Saccharomyces cerevisiae S288C: one gene and its partners. The gene in region 3 interacts genetically with the main gene of each other region. Each region holds a gene or a part of one and is shown on either strand. Other genes may lie near its edges. The genes, in order: NRG2, CBF1, NRG1 and YCT1.

Region 1 (4,184 bases), on a different chromosome or scaffold from region 3:
CTGGTTATGGTTTTTCTTGACTATAACCTTAATTATGAGACTAATGTCTTCGGGAGGTCCCTTTTCCGATTTTCCGACTCTTTTCCGTTGAAGAATGTACTTGTGGTTTTGAATCCTACGGCAGTTATTGCGGCGGTTTGGCCCTTTCTTTCAAAGATTGTGATGGAAATAATTGATTGTTCCGGGAAATGTGTCTTATTTTCTAAAAGCATCTTTTTTTCTCTCCAATTCTTCGAGCTATTTCCAGTAAAGGAAAAAAAAGGTTTGCTGTAAGGGTGAATATGTCTCCAACCTCTTTGAGGTACTGCGTTGCTTCATTCACCATTTAATATAAATAGTACATTGGCAGCCCTCTTTCAAACGTCAATTATTCTCGCTTGCCTAACTTTGTTCGGACCGAAATTATAAAGGCATTCAATCAGTAACAATAATTGCTATTGCATAACTATACCCTCTGCTAAATAAAATAAAATGTCCGTTTCCAAGATTGCTTTCGTTTTAAGTGCCATTGCCTCTTTGGCCGTCGCTGACACCAGCGCCGCCGAAACTGCTGAATTGCAAGCTATTATCGGTGACATCAACTCTCATCTTTCTGACTACTTGGGTCTAGAAACTGGCAACAGTGGATTCCAAATTCCATCTGATGTCTTGAGTGTGTATCAACAAGTCATGACTTACACCGATGACGCTTACACTACCTTGTTTAGTGAATTGGACTTTGATGCTATCACTAAGACAATTGTTAAATTGCCATGGTACACCACAAGATTGAGTTCTGAAATCGCTGCTGCTCTTGCCTCCGTTTCCCCAGCTTCTTCCGAGGCTGCATCTTCTTCCGAGGCTGCATCTTCTTCCAAGGCTGCATCTTCTTCCGAAGCTACATCCTCTGCCGCTCCATCCTCTTCTGCTGCCCCATCTTCTTCTGCTGCCCCATCATCATCTGCCGAATCATCTTCTAAGGCCGTTTCTTCTTCTGTCGCTCCAACTACCTCTTCTGTCAGCACTTCTACAGTCGAAACTGCTTCCAATGCCGGTCAAAGAGTCAATGCAGGCGCTGCCTCTTTCGGTGCTGTTGTTGCAGGTGCAGCTGCTTTATTGTTATAAAAGGGAACCTTTTACAACAAATATTTGAAAAATTACCTCCATTATTATACCTTCTCTTTATGTAATTGTTAGTTCGAAAATTTTTTCTTCATTAATATAATCAACTTCTAAAACTTTCTAAAAACGTTCTCTTTTTCGAGATTAGTGCTTCTTCCCAATCCGTAAGAAATGTTTCCTTTCTTGACAATTGGCACCAGCTGGCTACTCGTTGCTCGAAAACTACTCTCTTTTATTTTTAATTTACGAACGATTATCTTTCGAAGGAACGACCAAACGAGCTAAATATGGGCATCGCCAACGTTAAAAAAATGGACCCTACCGAAGACGTTATTATGCCAAGGCGCAGCGAAGAGTCTTTCTCCTTGAGAAAAAATATGCATGAAACAAAATAGACAGGACCAGACCCTCTTCGGGAAAAAAAGTCAAGATTTAACACGTGGCTACACCGGCTGGCTTACAACCAACCAACATAAGATCAAACAACCCTCAAGTTTAGAAAATGCCTTAATAGCAACCTCTAAAACCATAGACTTCTCCATTTTCACGTGCTAAAAAAGTTCGGGTATGATGTCATACAAATCCTTTCAACAAAAGATGCTTCAAGATCAATGGCACTCGAGATCATAAATCCCTGCAGAGCAGCGGCTCTGCATATAGAATAACAAACAAATCGTATTTTTCCCGAAGCCAAGAAAAAAAGGAGACTATAACCTTTCAAGCCAGACGGAAAACTATCTGCCCAAGGACAAACTGGCATGGGCTGCTTCAATGTTCGGCTACCTTTTTTCTCTTTTAACGGGGTTTGGTATTTTTTTTCTTTACTTCATAAACGAATGTTAAACGACTGTGAAAAAGCCATCCCTGGATTATGCGAGAGTACTCTCAGGGCACCCGTCCGTTTAAAGACCCCAGGCCAAAATAAAAATTTCTTGAAGGAAAAAAATACACAGGGCCTTGAACTGAATACAAAGCCATCTTTTTTCTCGTTTGTCAGCACGTCCCAGAAAAACGCGCAGCCGTAGCTCTTGATAAGTGGCTTCTGCGTTTTGCAACGCTTTTCTGATCTCATGTTTTCTTATGCTGCGGGACATCATTGTCGTTGAGAAAAGTTTCAATTTCAAACGAACTGCCTACCGTTGCATTCTCCTTGGAGAAGGGCCTGAGTTTAGGGGAATCACGTCTGGCTATTACATGCTACATCGTGCAGTAGCTCCTACATCGCTAACAGGCAAATCCTACACCCTCTTTAAATCGTTTATCTTTTATATATTATCTGGCCTAAATTTTTACATATAAATATTTATCATATTATGACAGCTCAAATGAATTTCCGGCACCAAGTCATATGAGCACTCGCTACTGTTCGAAGAACAAAAAATATAAAGCTTCTACAAAATTTCCAGATGTCCATAGGTTACAAAGACAACTTGATGTCAACTATTCTAGCTAAAGATAGGAAATGTGAATTTCCCATCAATTTCGAATGTTCGCCCTCCCAGATAACTCTTATGCCTGAAATGTTCTCTTTTAACAATGAAAGGAAATACCAAACCCTGATACCCTTGATGAAAACATCACATCTAATTGATGATGACTTGAAAGATAAATTGAATAAGTGCGCTTTCGATTTTTTCTCCGGAAAACAAGCGAACAGAACGAGTGACGGGACTATTTCAAGATTAACAGCAAGTGGAAAAACGTCACCGATACTGCCATTGCAAAATATTAATATTGTAAAAGCAGAGAATACCGGTAACGGTAAATCAGATCCATATAGCTCAATTAAAATAAGCAAACCGACAAAAACCGTGATAAAATTGAAATCTACGAAAACCAATACAGCAGGACAGAGGACTCGTCATTTCTGTAAGATCTGCTCTACTGGGTTCACCACTTCTGGTCATCTTTCAAGACATAACAGAATCCATACAGGTGAAAAAAATCATATCTGTCCGCATGAGGGCTGTGGACAGAGGTTTAGTAGACATGATAACTGTAATCAGCATTATCGAACTCATGCAAACAAGAAGAAAAGAAACTGGAAGAGGAGGGAGGCTAGCAGTTGATGTGAGTGAGCTCAGCCAAAAACATTTAAATATTCAAATAACGTACAAATAAAAGACTGATAAATAGTAATAAAACTAAGCGGGTTAGTAATACTCACCAAGAACAATAGCAGGAACGATAGTCGGTTCTCTTTCGTAATTTTTTTAAGTCACAACCCGGAGGGACGTGAAGTTTCAAACCTTATTCATTCCGGGATTACCCTCTCCTGTGATGACGTTTAGGCAATAAGGACTAAAAAAAAAAAAAAGAAATGCTATGGCAAATTTTATTGATAGAAGTGGTAATGATGATGGAAGGGCTTTTGAGCAGGTGAATAGAAGGTAGCTAACGGAAAAGAGTTATTGCACCCTTAATATAATGAATGATGAAATTAATGAGCCACCGCCCAATATATGTGAGCAGTGCTTAGGTGATGAGGCTAATATACGAATGACTAAAATTCCACAAGGCTCTGAATGTAAGATTTGTACCTTACCGTTCACCTTATACCATTTTAAGACGTCTAAACGAAGCAATAATATCATTAAAACATTAATATGTGTACGGTGCGCCACTCAGAGAAACATTTGTCAATGCTGTATGCTTGATTCAAGATGGCACATCCCTATACAACTGCGGGATCATTTAATATCCCTTGTGAACGAGGAAAACGTTATGACGGAGGAAGCAAAAAACGACATGATGAAAAGGTTTCTGTCACTAAAAAACGTGAAATTAGGAGGAGCTCAGATTACGAGTGATCCGTCAGAAGCAGATAATATCGTTGATAAATTGAAAAATATACTTCTGCGAGCAACATCAGATGGCCCAAGTACTCCGTTAATAAAAAACACAACTGCATTGTATAAAAATGAAAAAGGTGCAAATGAGGTCAAAAACTTGGAAAAGTACGCGTCCGTGGACATTTCTCATATTTTGAAGAAACTACCCTTGAATGAATCGTTTTTAAAAAACCCCTCCACCAAATCATTTTTTCTGTATAATATTGATGCCTCGATCCCTGAATGGAAAAT
Region 2 (4,407 bases), on a different chromosome or scaffold from region 3:
GTCCATTTAACGGATAATTTCGTATTTGATACGGACAATAAACCTATTGGTTCGGGTGGGTCTAGTGAAGTTAGAAAGGTTAAATCAAGTTACAGGCAAAAGGATGTTTACGCTCTAAAAAAACTGAATATGATATACCACGAGTCACCCGAGAAGTTTTACAAGAGATGCTCCAAAGAATTCATCATAGCTAAGCATTTAAGTCATAACGTTCACATCACGAATACTTTTTATCTTCTAAAAGTTCCCACGACCACATATACAACTCGTGGTTGGGGGTTTATTATGGAACTAGGTGTTAAGGACCTCTTCCAACTGATGGAAAGAACAGGCTGGAAGAACGTTCCCTTCAATGAAAAATATTGTCTTTTCAAACAAGTGGCCCAAGGTATTAAGTTTTGTCATGACAATGGTATTGCTCACCGTGATTTGAAGCCCGAAAATGTTTTAATTTCTAAAGAAGGTATATGCAAATTGACGGATTTCGGTATTTCTGATTGGTACCATGTGATACCTCATGACTACACTAGTCCAGTGAAAACATGCCAAGGTATGATTGGCTCTCCACCATACACTCCGCCAGAGGTAATGTACTTCGATGCCAAGAAGCACTACCCCGAAAAGTTCCAAAAACCCTATAATCCGTTGGCCATGGATTCCTATGCCCTCGGAATCATGCTGATTACCATGATTAACAATATCATCCCCTTCATCGATTCTTGTAACACTGATGCGAGATTCAGGGAATTTGAAGTGTCATATGACAACTTCATCAATCATCAAAACCCACATTTCAGGGACAAGGGCTGCCACAAGCCGGGTCCTGGTTCCGAATACTCTTTAGCAAGAAATTTCAAGAATACTGATGCCACGCGTATCGCATGGAGATTGGCTGACCCGAACCCTGCAACTAGATATACAATGGATGATTTATTTAATGATCCGTTTTTCCAACAAATTGAAACATGTGTCGAGCCAAATGATGATGACTTAGTAAGGGTTCCTGAATTAAGGAAAAGTACTTCTACCAATGATTTTAGTGAAAATTCATTAGATGCACCCCATGATCAAGAGGTCATTCACACGTCTAATCCATTCCTAAAAAAGGAAACGCTCACTTCTAAACCAAGATCGATGTTGGAAATTGCAGAATCTCCTTCCTTGAAACAAAAATCCAAGGTAAAAGATAGCGCAAAGACCAAAACACACGATGTTGGGGATGAAGGGGGGAATGAAAGCACCAAACCTAAGCAGCAAGATAAAAAGGAAAATTTGAAGAAAGATGAGGTCAAGAACGGCGACAAGGACAAAGTCATTGAAGAGGCTACCACGACTAATGTGGACAGCATATTGGAAAAACCAACACCAACCTCCACAAAAGTAGAGGACAACTTAAGCGAAGATGATTCCACAATGAAGGAATTAAAGTCGATGCTAAACTCCACCCCTACTACACCAACACATAATGGCCCCACTCCGCTCCCTGCAAAGGCTGGCACTCAATTAGATAAGCGTATGAGCGACCTATCACTCAAATCGGAAACACCGGCTTCTACAAAGAACTTTAGCGCACCGAATGTTTCGTCATCAAGCAATTCACTGAGAAGCCTCGGAAGTCCAAGCGTGTCATCCTCGAAAAAGAAGAAGGTAATTCACCACCACTTGGACATTACCAACAGCGTTACAAACATGTCATCCGTGAGCGCCTTTATCTCAAGATAGACGTTAGGACTTCTTTAATTCCCTCTTTTATGCTTTAGTATCGTCATATTCTTTCATACCCTTCCTTATAAGCTTTTTATATAAAATATCCCACCGGGAAAAGATAAAGAACGGAAGATAAATCAAACAATGAAATAAAGCACACACATATAAATCCACATATGTACTTATATATTTTACTTCAAACAATAAACAAACATTTTATTATTTATTTTTCCCGTACATCGATGTACGTGATCGGTTTTTCTCATTCCTCTCGGATCCTTCGGGACCACCATGTCTCACCCACCAAGGTCAAAAAAAAAATAAAATCGGACGAGAAAAGTATTGGGCAAACAACAATTATCCACGTGCTTATCACGTTTTTTTATTTAATGTAGAATGTAAACCATTATACCTTAAAGATAAACACTTTGTTAATTAATCATTTTAGTTGGCGGTCATTTTCATTTCTGCTACAAGTACCAACATCAAGTGCTTAAAATATAATACGGTTTTCTACACTTTTATTAACGATGAACTCTCTGGCAAATAATAATAAGCTTTCTACTGAGGATGAGGAAATCCATTCGGCAAGAAAAAGAGGCTATAACGAGGAGCAGAACTACAGCGAGGCCAGGAAAAAGCAAAGAGATCAAGGCTTGTTGTCACAAGAGAGCAATGACGGAAATATTGACTCTGCTCTGTTGAGCGAAGGGGCTACGCTAAAAGGGACTCAAAGTCAGTATGAAAGCGGACTGACGTCTAACAAAGATGAGAAAGGAAGTGATGACGAAGATGCGTCAGTGGCTGAGGCTGCTGTTGCCGCTACCGTCAATTATACAGACTTAATCCAGGGCCAGGAAGATAGTTCTGATGCCCACACATCTAATCAAACGAACGCGAATGGTGAGCACAAGGATTCCCTTAATGGGGAAAGAGCCATAACCCCATCAAATGAAGGAGTCAAGCCAAACACCTCCCTGGAGGGAATGACGTCTTCACCAATGGAATCTACACAGCAATCTAAAAACGACATGCTCATACCATTGGCAGAACACGATCGTGGGCCAGAACACCAACAGGATGATGAAGACAATGATGACGCTGACATTGATCTCAAAAAGGATATAAGCATGCAGCCGGGTCGTCGTGGAAGAAAACCTACTACTTTGGCCACAACAGACGAGTGGAAAAAGCAAAGAAAAGACTCCCATAAAGAAGTCGAAAGGCGTCGCCGCGAAAACATCAACACTGCAATCAACGTTTTAAGCGACCTCCTGCCCGTGAGAGAATCAAGTAAGGCAGCAATATTGGCGTGTGCCGCTGAATACATTCAAAAATTGAAAGAAACCGATGAAGCAAACATCGAAAAGTGGACGTTACAAAAATTGCTTAGCGAGCAAAACGCATCGCAATTAGCCAGTGCAAATGAGAAACTGCAGGAAGAACTGGGAAATGCTTACAAAGAAATCGAGTACATGAAACGCGTTTTAAGGAAGGAGGGAATAGAATACGAGGATATGCACACTCACAAGAAACAAGAGAACGAAAGAAAAAGCACTAGGAGCGATAATCCACATGAGGCTTGAGAGTTAAAAATAGATAGCTAAATGTATTTCGAGTCTCCCTATGTATCTGCGTCTCTGCCCCATAGCACCTCTGTTAAGTTTTTATCAATATTCCATCGGCATATTTGAAACCGCCCGGATGGTATTAGAGAATCACTCAGCCTCAAACTCAGCAAGTAAAAGAGGACGGGACGGACTTTCAAATATGTCTTTGTACGTTATTGTTTTTCATCCCTAAATGGCTTAGTAAAAAAGTTTTGCCAAGAATTTTTTGACGTTCAATGGAAAAATCGCCAAGAGAAATACGCACAACCTCCGTTTTCCCGCCTTTTATCAAAAAATCTTAGTTTTCCCTTCCTTTTTTTTTTTTTGGGTCGCAGAAAAGAAAAAAGATAGTAGTGGAGAGGATTACCTGAAAAAAACAGGCAAAAACGTCACATCCTTGAAGGTCCGCGACAATCACGGGCCTATTTCTACTTTGGGGCTTTGCTTGATTATTTAAGAAGAAACATTGGACGAAGATCAAGTAAGAGTGCACTTGTCTTTAGTCTGGCATTCCGCTATTTGTATCTTATATAGTTAACAACAACTGTTATTTACTTTCTGGAAAACAACCAACGTTTATTTTTATGAATTAGAATCATTGAGATTGTCTAAACGAGAGGAAGAGAAAGAAAGAGAGAAAGAGAAAAGAAAGCGAAGCAAGATACAATTCCAATGATGTTATCACTGCGCAGGTTCTCCATGTACGTTTTGAGATCTCTGCGGCTTCACTTTAAAAAGATAATCATTACTCTTCTAACTATCCAGTTACTATTCATTACCATATTTGTATTGGGCGGTCGCTCGTCGATTATTGACGGTAACTGGAAGTCATTCATGGCGCTCTTTTTCAAACCGCTTGCTTACACTAACAGAAACAACAACCATGCTTCTTTCGATCTGAGATCAAAAGACAACGTAGCCAAACTTTACGAAAAAATGAATTTTGATACTTCAGGCAAATGGATCGACACGTACACCTTGAAGAATAATCTTCTCACTGTGAAAATGGGTCCTGAAAAAGGGCAAGTTCTTGATTCGGTAGATGAATTGAGATATTACGATAACGACCCAAGGCTGGTATGGTCAGTTT
Region 3 (4,149 bases):
GGCGTATTGTTTTTCCCAACAGTGAACGAGAGGACAAACTCCAGAGGATTTGCGGGCTTGATGATAAAATGTATTGTTGAAAAGATCGCGAATGCAACAATTACGGTGGGGAGAAATATCAACAAAAGGGCAAGGCTATGCCTTCTGGAAAGTGGCAGACTTGCACTTTCCTCGAAAAGAAAAATGACCGCAAGATCCGGTTGTTCTCAACCTTCTACATTAAGACATACTTCTACGATTTTCGAATGCCGAAGCAACTATCGCTGAAATTTGTCATGTCAAAATTGCTACTGGGGGAGAAGAATATATATGGAAGTAATTATTATTTACGTTGCTGAAATGGCAGGTTAGACGCATGTTTTGCAAAATAAGTGGTTTTGAAAAGAATTGATACTAGGAATCGGTGCAATACCTTCTACCTTTCTTAATAGGTATTCTTGAATAATCTACCTCACTTTCTGTCCCAGATACGAGATGTCGAGCGCCTCGAAAATAGATATCGTTTATTACGTTAGATACGGAAAGGTCTACGTGTCATAATAAATTGCATCTGGATTGCGATTTTGGGTCATGCCTAACTGGGAAAATATTTACATCTCCATGTTCTCATTCTGCCTTTGCTTTCCTTCAAAACATGGTTTTCAATTCAACCTAGGGTCTACCGCGGAACCATATGTACGCCGTAAATGCGAGTGTTCTTGAAAGGTAGTAATGTGTTCCCTCTCAATATGTAAGTCCTTCAAGAGTATGCACTTGCAGTTGCACTGTTTCGGGTAATTATCCGTCATTAAGAAAAAGATGCTTCCACTTTCTCGTGTTTTTACGCACAATCGTGCCATTTAACCGGAAATAGACTCCATTGCATTGATTGCTCTCATAAAAATTATAGCCCGCGTTTGATACTTGTTTAAAATAGGTGTCGACAAAGTTAGTTTCTGTCTTCCATTTAGTTTTTACAATATGACACGTCAAATAAATCTTTTCGATTTAGTTAAAAGAGTTACCTGGCGATAGCCTTCTGGTAAAACACCTATTCATAAAACAATCTTAAAAAACCAAAAAATTACCAAACAACTATGTAGGACATATTTTTACAGTTCATAAAAACGCTTCGAGCTGCCGATATCGGTATCAAACACCAAAATATACATAGTGCTGGTTTAAGCCAGAATATCTTGGTGAAGCTGCGCCTATATGCCTTGTATTTAAAACAAGTCACGAAAAGCTATTGCCAAAGGAACATAAAAACTCGTATCTATGTTATATTATAAAAAAGATATAATATTTATATATTATTATTAATATTATTTTTTAGTTCCGAAAGGAGAAACTTATAATTTTTATATCATTATTTATTATTATTTTTAATTTCAACTCCTTTTATACCTATTACTGCATGTGGAGAAAAGATTAAACCAGGCGAGGCAATTTACACTTATTCATTGAGATAAGATGAAAGAGCCACGCCTCGTTACATTTAGGCTACATCATATAACAACTAGTCCCAGCCTCCCCCCTTCCCCACCTTGGAGTACTTTTCTCCAGAAATAGAAAGCTAAGAATCAAAATCGCACCATTACGTATGAGCTCATTTGCCGTCTTTTCCCCGACAATCCGGCACAAAATCTGGCTACCCGTCGTATGTATGGTAGACGATATTATGTACTCTAGTAATGCTATGTACGAATAGTTTCAGACGGGCACAGGGACCTAGAACGCCAAGCGCAAAAAAAAGCTGATAGGAATTCGACGTCACGAACCCTTGGAGTAAAAGAAAACTAAAATATACGAACTTCGCGGAAAATAAAAAACTTTTCCTTCAGTTGTTCCTCGTTCGAAACAGTAATCTACACGGACCGTTGCTTATTTTTAGCCAGATTCTAGTTAAATAAAAAAAAAAGAAATAAAATTAAAAAAAAATTAAACTGTGGCAGATAAGCCTTTCTAATCGAGGCAGTGTGTTTCTTTTGACTTCACCGTTTGTCTTCGCATAGTTCCCCTAAATATTCTAACTAGAAAAATCGCTAGTATTTTTCTACTTATAAGTTGATTTTCCGCATATTTGTCTTTGAAACGTTTGAGACAGGGAAAACTCTGTTTTCTAAAAGAGGAAAAAGCAAAATGAAGTATTGGCTTGGTTGCGGTCAACACCCTCAGGGAAAGCCAAGAAATGCTTTTTACTGTTTAGCAGTGAAAAGGCCGCACCGGAAAAGAAGGGAAAAATTCATTGGGTCTAGATTTTTCTTATCGGTAAAAGACTATGGCCTCTTGAGGACCCTTAAGCGTGAAACGAAACGCGTTGAGCGCGCAGAGGGGCTTCGCCGCCGGTCAGGGTGTTTGGGGTGTTTTTTCTTTTAATTATTCTCTTGGCAGTGTCATCTTTCTACAGTCTGGCTGCAGGCTCCTTTTCCGTTATTCATATATAAGGAAGAGAACTTTCCAAACCCAAATTAAAAAAAATTTGGTTCCCATCTCTTAACTAAAAGAAATTATATTACTCCACCTCGTTTACAGTTTTTTGATGCTATAAGGGAATTCTGCAGCTTTTGAAAGTAAAAATCATATCGTATACGATTCTGCAAAGTATTATTGTACTGTAATTCCTACCATTACGGCGCCTTTTTCTACCATTCACCTTTCTTGGATTGTTCCTCTCGACCAGCATATTACTACCCTTCGCAAACTTTCAGGCAATGTTTTACCCATATAACTATAGTAACCTCAATGTTTCTACTATGCCCGCACTGCCGGGAATCTCCGCATTTGATGGAATGCAAGATGAAGAAAACGTTGAAATAAGCCCGGAAAGAAAATATCAGACGCTACTACCAGTTCTAACTAATTCTCATGTGGTAGAGAATGAACTAAAACACAAATTAAATAAGACTGCTTTTGATTTCCGATACCAAACCAAATCAGAAAATGGCTCTGAAAAGTGGGAGCCAAAATACTTAATAACGCCTAATTTACAAACAAGAAGCGTCTCTTTTGACAATTCATCGGTACAATATAATTCAGATTCATCCGAAAAAAGCTCGCTATCACAACTAACTTGTAATTCATCAATAATACAACAGCCTGAGAACGGAATAGTTTCTAATGATGCATATAATAAGATGGCAAATAGTAGATACTCTCTGAAAACGCGGAAGCAAAGAACAGATCCAAGAAATACGTTATCAGATGAGGAAGACCTTGAACAAAGGCGCAAATACATTTGCAAAATTTGCGCAAGAGGATTCACTACATCGGGTCATTTAGCAAGGCATAATAGAATTCATACGGGCGAAAAAAATCATTGTTGTCCGTATAAGGGATGCACGCAGCGATTCAGTCGACATGATAATTGCTTGCAACACTATAGAACACATTTGAAAAAGGGACAATAATTGACGGTATACCCGTGTTTTTCTCATTAGCAGTACTACTATTCCGCACTTTACATCATTTTTTATAAACTCATGCATACATACATTGTACTTCAAAAGATTTTTTTTTTTTTTTGGCATCATAAATCACTTTCAGATCAGTTTCCTTTCAAACGCGCGGCATTAAGAAAACTTTTAATGTCAAAAAAACGGAAGCAAAAACCCCTCCCTTCCGCTTAAGATCATGTCTGGACATTTTAGTTGTAAGGCTGCGCCTCGGTAGCAAGTAGTGCTGCAACAAGGCTATTATGCCACCTAAACAGACCACTTTTGCTTAATACGAGACTGTGACTACCTCCTGACTTCCTGTCATAACAAAAAAACAGACGTCGCTGCATTAACATTTACAACCCCAAACCTTCTTCATTCATTGCTTTTCTTTTAGAAACTGTGGCTTTTTGACATTTGCAGTTTGCATAGTTACTTTTTGATCACTAACAACGATATATTATCGTTGAACAATTTACTACGCAAAACAGTTCACGTGATGTACGTCAGATAATTCACTGAAGGTACTACCTTTCGAGCATCTCTTACAGCAATGGTAACAGCTCATTGAAGAAGAAAAAAATAAGACAAATTTTTTTAGAGCTGCAAGCGTTTTACTAGGCATCAGAACTGTCTCCGAACAATAGTATAGTTAATTATTATACTTCAACCCTAGAAGAAATACCCGAAGATGTAAGGATGTTTTTGTTCCTATAAGCTTTTTTTTTTCACA
Region 4 (4,956 bases), on a different chromosome or scaffold from region 3:
AAAACAAGTCTGAACAGAGGAGCCGTATCCAAACGATGTACAGCCGCCCAAGCGTTTGTGCCTTGTCCGACATAGCCAGATTTTCCGGCAGCTTTGGCAATATTCATTAATATTGGTACAAAAGCCTTGTCCCCCTTGCCATGAACCGAGAATGGGAGTCTGACAATTCTTGCTGAAACACCTTTGTCTTTGTAACTCAAGGCAACCTGTTCAGTGACAGCACGCAAAATTTTGGAATCTTCATCAATACCATCCTGTTCGTTAGCAACTTTGTTTGGTCGCAAAGAAAGTGTACCATTCGTATATAAGAAAGGCTTGTTAGAACCTTTAAGTGACTCTAGCATAGCTACAGTGGCCTGACGGTCAATTTCGCAGCACTGTTCAAAATTTTTAAAATCATGCACAAATCCTAAATGAATAACGCCATCAGATTCAGTGGCACCTTTTTTCAAAATTTCCAGATCCTTGAGATCACCGCGAAGGATTTTTGCAGCAGGATCAATCGACTTAATCTTTGCAGCAGCCTCGTCTGACCTTGCCAAGCCAACAACTTCATGACCCGAGGATATTAGTTCAGATAATACGGCAGAACCAATGAAGCCAGAAGCACCAGTTATAAATACTTTCATTTTTTGATCTCTTTTTTATTTTCTTTTGTAAAAGTTGAGTTATCACGCCTTAGCGCTTATGAATACAAGAGTGATTGTAAGCATAGTTGATAGAAGCGGGAGCCGTTATTTATACGTTAGTTGAGTACTTGAGGGTCTTCATCGCCTACTTTTTTTCCTTAATATCCTTGTGTTAGTAATCATATCTTCAGGAAAGCCAAGAACTAATGGCAAATTAAATCCGCGGCTTTCCCTTTAAACTTTTTCCAGCACAATCTATTATGTTGAGAAGTTCCGCTAATTTCCGCATTGGAAAAAGAATCTCATCTGCAAAAACGATGGTTTCTTTCTTCCACGGAAGACTTATGTCCGTCCTCTCTATTTTCATATTGTTCTTTCTCTCTCTTTTTGCATAACGTCACAATACCCTAGTGCTACCGTCATTGGCGCAGCATAAGAGTATTGCATTTCATGTCTTCAGATTTTGCCTCGCGAAAGAGAAAACACTAAGAGGTGAAAAACAATAAAATTATGTTCCAGTGTGTCATACGTGAGGTTTTATCACGGGGCCACCGTTCTCATTGGTTACTTGGTTGTAAATGCTTTGCGTTGTGATAAATATATGGCATGAAAAATCATATGACTTCAAAAATGAACAGATTCCAGATGCCAAGCCCGCTTTCCTTCGGCTAACTAGATGCGCGCTCGCCCTTGAAATCCTTAATCAGCACAACTCAATTGTATGGACGTGAGCTCTGACTTTTGCTTCCGACAATTAGGCCTTTCATATCTGTCCTTCTGAGATGTTATGTATCATGCATTTTGTATACACTATGCAACACCCTTCGCAATGGCGAAAGCGGAAAGTCATGGCACCATCAATCGTGCTCTGACCAGTATGTAAAAAATTTCTTAAGCCTCACCATGTTACAGATTGGCCAGAGCATCTGGATATTCACCACACCTGATTGGGAAGACTCATAGTTTTATGAAAGATTTCTTCAGAAAAAATGACATGCTGATTTTGTCTACTTGCGTGTGCTTTCAGTTCTTTACCAGTACGATTTGGTCACGTGACACGCGATCAACTACATTCAATCCATCTGCCCCTTGCTGGTTCCGAGTATCAATTCTAAATTGTGGCTACCACTATAGCAATAGTACGCCAAGCTCGGATGCAAATCACGGATATCTTCTTAGCATCCGAGTTCAACATCCGAGTTCAGCATCCGAGCTTTGCGGCGAAAACTTAACAAGATAACGGATAATCAAAGTTCTCTGTGATGTTACGGAGTCTTTGGTCTGCGCTGCTGACTAAAATAGTGTGACACAACGTACATAGCGCCACCCATATTGGCCGATAAGGACCAGACTTGTGGCGATGACTGTTAACTCTCCGCGAATCTTTTTCGAAGTCGCAGGTGGCATTGCAGAAACAAAAATGTGTGGCTTCTGAAAAAAAAAATAGGCACCCCATTTGATGTAAGACATCTGGCTACCCCTTGTACATTTCAGTCACTGAGCATCGAAGGCACGTCTTTGCAGCATGCAATAGTGTTCGAAGTTCTTCCATTTACGGTGGCTCCCCTCACTGGAACGGTGATGTAATATGTAGATAGCTAAAACATTTCGCAGGTCCCTAGGAACTGGACGTCAAGATGAATAGGTATTGTTAAAAATGCGTACCTGTTGAATTGAAGAGGTCGGAAAAATCAAAGTACTTAAACAGACGATTGATTCGACATTTAGCTATTCAGGTTGCACTTCTTGAAGGTTGAACAAAACATCAAGAGAAAATAAAAAAGAAAATATAACAAAAAAGAAATGTCAAAAGTTGACGTAAAAATTGGAGCAGACTCGATCTCCTCTTCTGATGAAATCCTAGTTCCTTCGAGACTCGCTGATGTTACGCTAGCATTCATGGAGGAGAATGACGCAGCAGTTCCAGAAATCACGCCTGAACAAGAAAAAAAATTAAAGAGAAAGCTTTTTCTCACAATATTCACCTTTGTCTCTGCCATTAACCTTTTACTTTACATGGACAAAGCCACTTTATCCTATGATTCGATTCTAGGCTTCTTTGAAGATACAGGTCTTACCCAAAATACTTACAATACTGTAAATACGCTGTTTTACGTTGGTTTTGCAATCGGCCAATTTCCTGGACAATACTTGGCTCAAAAGTTACCACTTGGGAAATTCTTGGGTGGGTTGTTGGCCACATGGACTATACTTATTTTCCTAAGTTGTACCGCATACAACTTTTCCGGTGTCGTTGCGTTGAGATTTTTCTTGGGGCTAACAGAGAGTGTTGTTATCCCGATATTAATTACCACTATGGGTATGTTCTTCGATGCTTCAGAAAGAGCTGCTGCTCAGCCATTTTTCTTTGCAGCATGTATGGGGTCTCCAATTCCAACTGGGTTTATTGCTTATGGTGTTCTTCATATAACAAATCCCAGCATTTCGTTATGGAAAATATTCACTATCATCATTGGTGGTTTGACTTTTATCATGACGGTTGTTGTAATTCTGTGGTTTCCTAATAATCCTGCTGATGTGAAATTCTTTTCAATACAAGAAAGGGTATGGATTATCAGGAGAGTTCAGGCATCCACAGGCTCTTCCATTGAACAAAAAGTCTTCAAAAAGAGTCAATTCAGAGAGGCAATGAAAGATTATATAACCTGGTTATTTGGATTGTTTTTTCTTCTTCAACAGTTAGCCAACAATCTGCCCTATCAACAGAACCTGCTATTTGAAGGAATGGGTGGAGTTGATGCTCTAGGTTCGACATTGGTATCAGTTGCCGGTGCTGGTTTCGCCGTCGTTTGTGCCTTCATCGCTACGTTGATGTTAGCAAAATGGAAAAATATTTCAGCTTTAACAGCCATCTTTTGGACTTTACCAGCATTGGTGGGATCCATCGCTGCAGCTGCTTTACCATGGGACAATAAGATTGGTATCTTAGCAAATATCTGTATGGCAGGACAAATATTTGGTATTCCTTTTATTATAGCTCTTAGCTGGGCAAGTTCAAGTGCATCTGGGTACACCAAAAAACTCACAAGAAGTTCGGTGTCCTTATTTGCGATGGGAATTGCTAATATCATATCACCACAAATATGGAGAGAGAAGGACTCTCCTCGCTTTTTACCTGCCTGGATTGTTCAAATCGTTTTATCATTCTCTCTTGCACCAGCCATTTTGTTACTGATCCATTTCATACTAAAAAGAAGGAATAATCAAAGACTAAAAAATTATGACGAAAATTTACAAAATTATTTGGACAGAATTCAACTCATTGAAAGCGAAAATCCTTCTTCCATTGAAGAAGGGAAAGTGGTAACCCACGAGAACAATTTGGCAGTCTTTGATTTGACTGATTTAGAAAACGAAACTTTTATATATCCTTTGTAAATATTGATGTTTTGTTGTGTAAATGTTCTATCTGACACTTAATAATTAGAAAATTAATTTTTTAAACTTTCCGGCTGCAAGAAAGAGGAACTGTGTCTCTTTGAAAGGCACAATTTCCCAAAGAATCATTTACAATGGTAAATAGCTTACTGCTTAGAAAATAATAGATAATTGAATAAATTTATAGAGGAATTTCTTGACAATTTCTTCAAAACAGCCGGTAAAAGTCCATTAAAGATTAGTTTTTCTTAAATAAATCACCTAAACTTTCAAATTTAGCATAAAAAACATGTAGATATTTGTTCTCTGTACTTTATAATCTAACATTTTATAAGACAGAGACTAGTAACCCCTCTAGCCTGTGGTTAAAATACGCAAAACCTTTGAACCCTCAATATTTTTGCCATAATAATGACAACTATATTGTACCCATTTGTTCTTGAGTTGTCCGTATGGATGGAAAGCAGCACTCGAGTTTGCTGAAATTACATACCTCGGTATGCAATATGCCCAGAAAATTTGTAAATGATAATTTACATAACAATTCAAAACATATTGATGTTTTTCGTGGGTAACCATAGTTCTTGGAATGTCAACTGAGGGTATTTGCACTTCAAAAAAAAAAATTTATTAAATGAGACTATATACAGTGAGCACAACCTGTCTAATACAACGGCAAAAATTATATACATTGGTAGATTTTCAAAATTGAACTCTTTGTGCTAAAGAATTGTCACAACAGTTTAAAAAATAGTTTGAATTCTTCAAATTGACCCCATATTAATAAGACCTGATGCGATTCCGGTCTCACCCAGATTAGAGAGGGAATTTAATTTTCTTAGGACCGTAGCTACCAAAAATCTTTGTGTGGTATTGATTATATGATCGTGCTTGCGAAAAAAATAGAAGACTAAAAGTAGCATTAGTT

Evidence for each region.
Region 1: of NRG1 (region 3) and NRG2, changing one enhances a phenotype caused by changing the other (phenotypic enhancement), as found in Saccharomyces cerevisiae (3 studies listed by BioGRID).
Region 2: mutations in NRG1 (region 3) and CBF1 together harm fitness more than expected from each alone (negative genetic interaction), as found in Saccharomyces cerevisiae (3 studies listed by BioGRID).
Region 4: mutations in NRG1 (region 3) and YCT1 together harm fitness more than expected from each alone (negative genetic interaction), as found in Saccharomyces cerevisiae (2 studies listed by BioGRID).

What each region holds. Positions count from the first base shown.
Region 1 is NC_001134.8:369,023-373,206, reverse strand, and holds NRG2 (Nrg2p), read left to right. Parts: upstream 1-2,507; coding exon 2,508-3,170; downstream 3,171-4,184. Other genes in the region: TIP1 (putative lipase), read left to right, coding at 472-1,104; Pre-mRNA-splicing factor ECM2, read left to right, coding at 3,529-4,184. UniProt on the Saccharomyces cerevisiae protein: Transcriptional repressor.
Region 2 is NC_001142.9:546,522-550,928, forward strand, and holds CBF1 (Cbf1p), read left to right. Parts: upstream 1-2,237; coding exon 2,238-3,293; downstream 3,294-4,407. Other genes in the region: protein kinase PTK2, read left to right, coding at 1-1,722; MNN14 (Mnn14p), read left to right, coding at 3,990-4,407. UniProt on the Saccharomyces cerevisiae protein: Required for chromosome stability and methionine prototrophy. It is involved in chromosomal segregation. Binds to a highly conserved DNA sequence (5'-RTCACRTG-3'), called CDEI, found in centromeres and in several promoters.
Region 3 is NC_001136.10:541,914-546,062, reverse strand, and holds NRG1 (transcriptional regulator NRG1), read left to right. Parts: upstream 1-2,693; coding exon 2,694-3,389; downstream 3,390-4,149. UniProt on the Saccharomyces cerevisiae protein: Transcriptional repressor involved in regulation of glucose repression. Binds to UAS-1 in the STA1 promoter.
Region 4 is NC_001144.5:27,677-32,632, forward strand, and holds YCT1 (Yct1p), read left to right. Parts: upstream 1-2,432; coding exon 2,433-4,028; downstream 4,029-4,956. Other genes in the region: YLL056C (uncharacterized protein), read right to left, coding at 1-629. UniProt on the Saccharomyces cerevisiae protein: High affinity cysteine-specific transporter. Major contributor to cysteine transport when cysteine, at low concentrations, is provided as the sole sulfur source.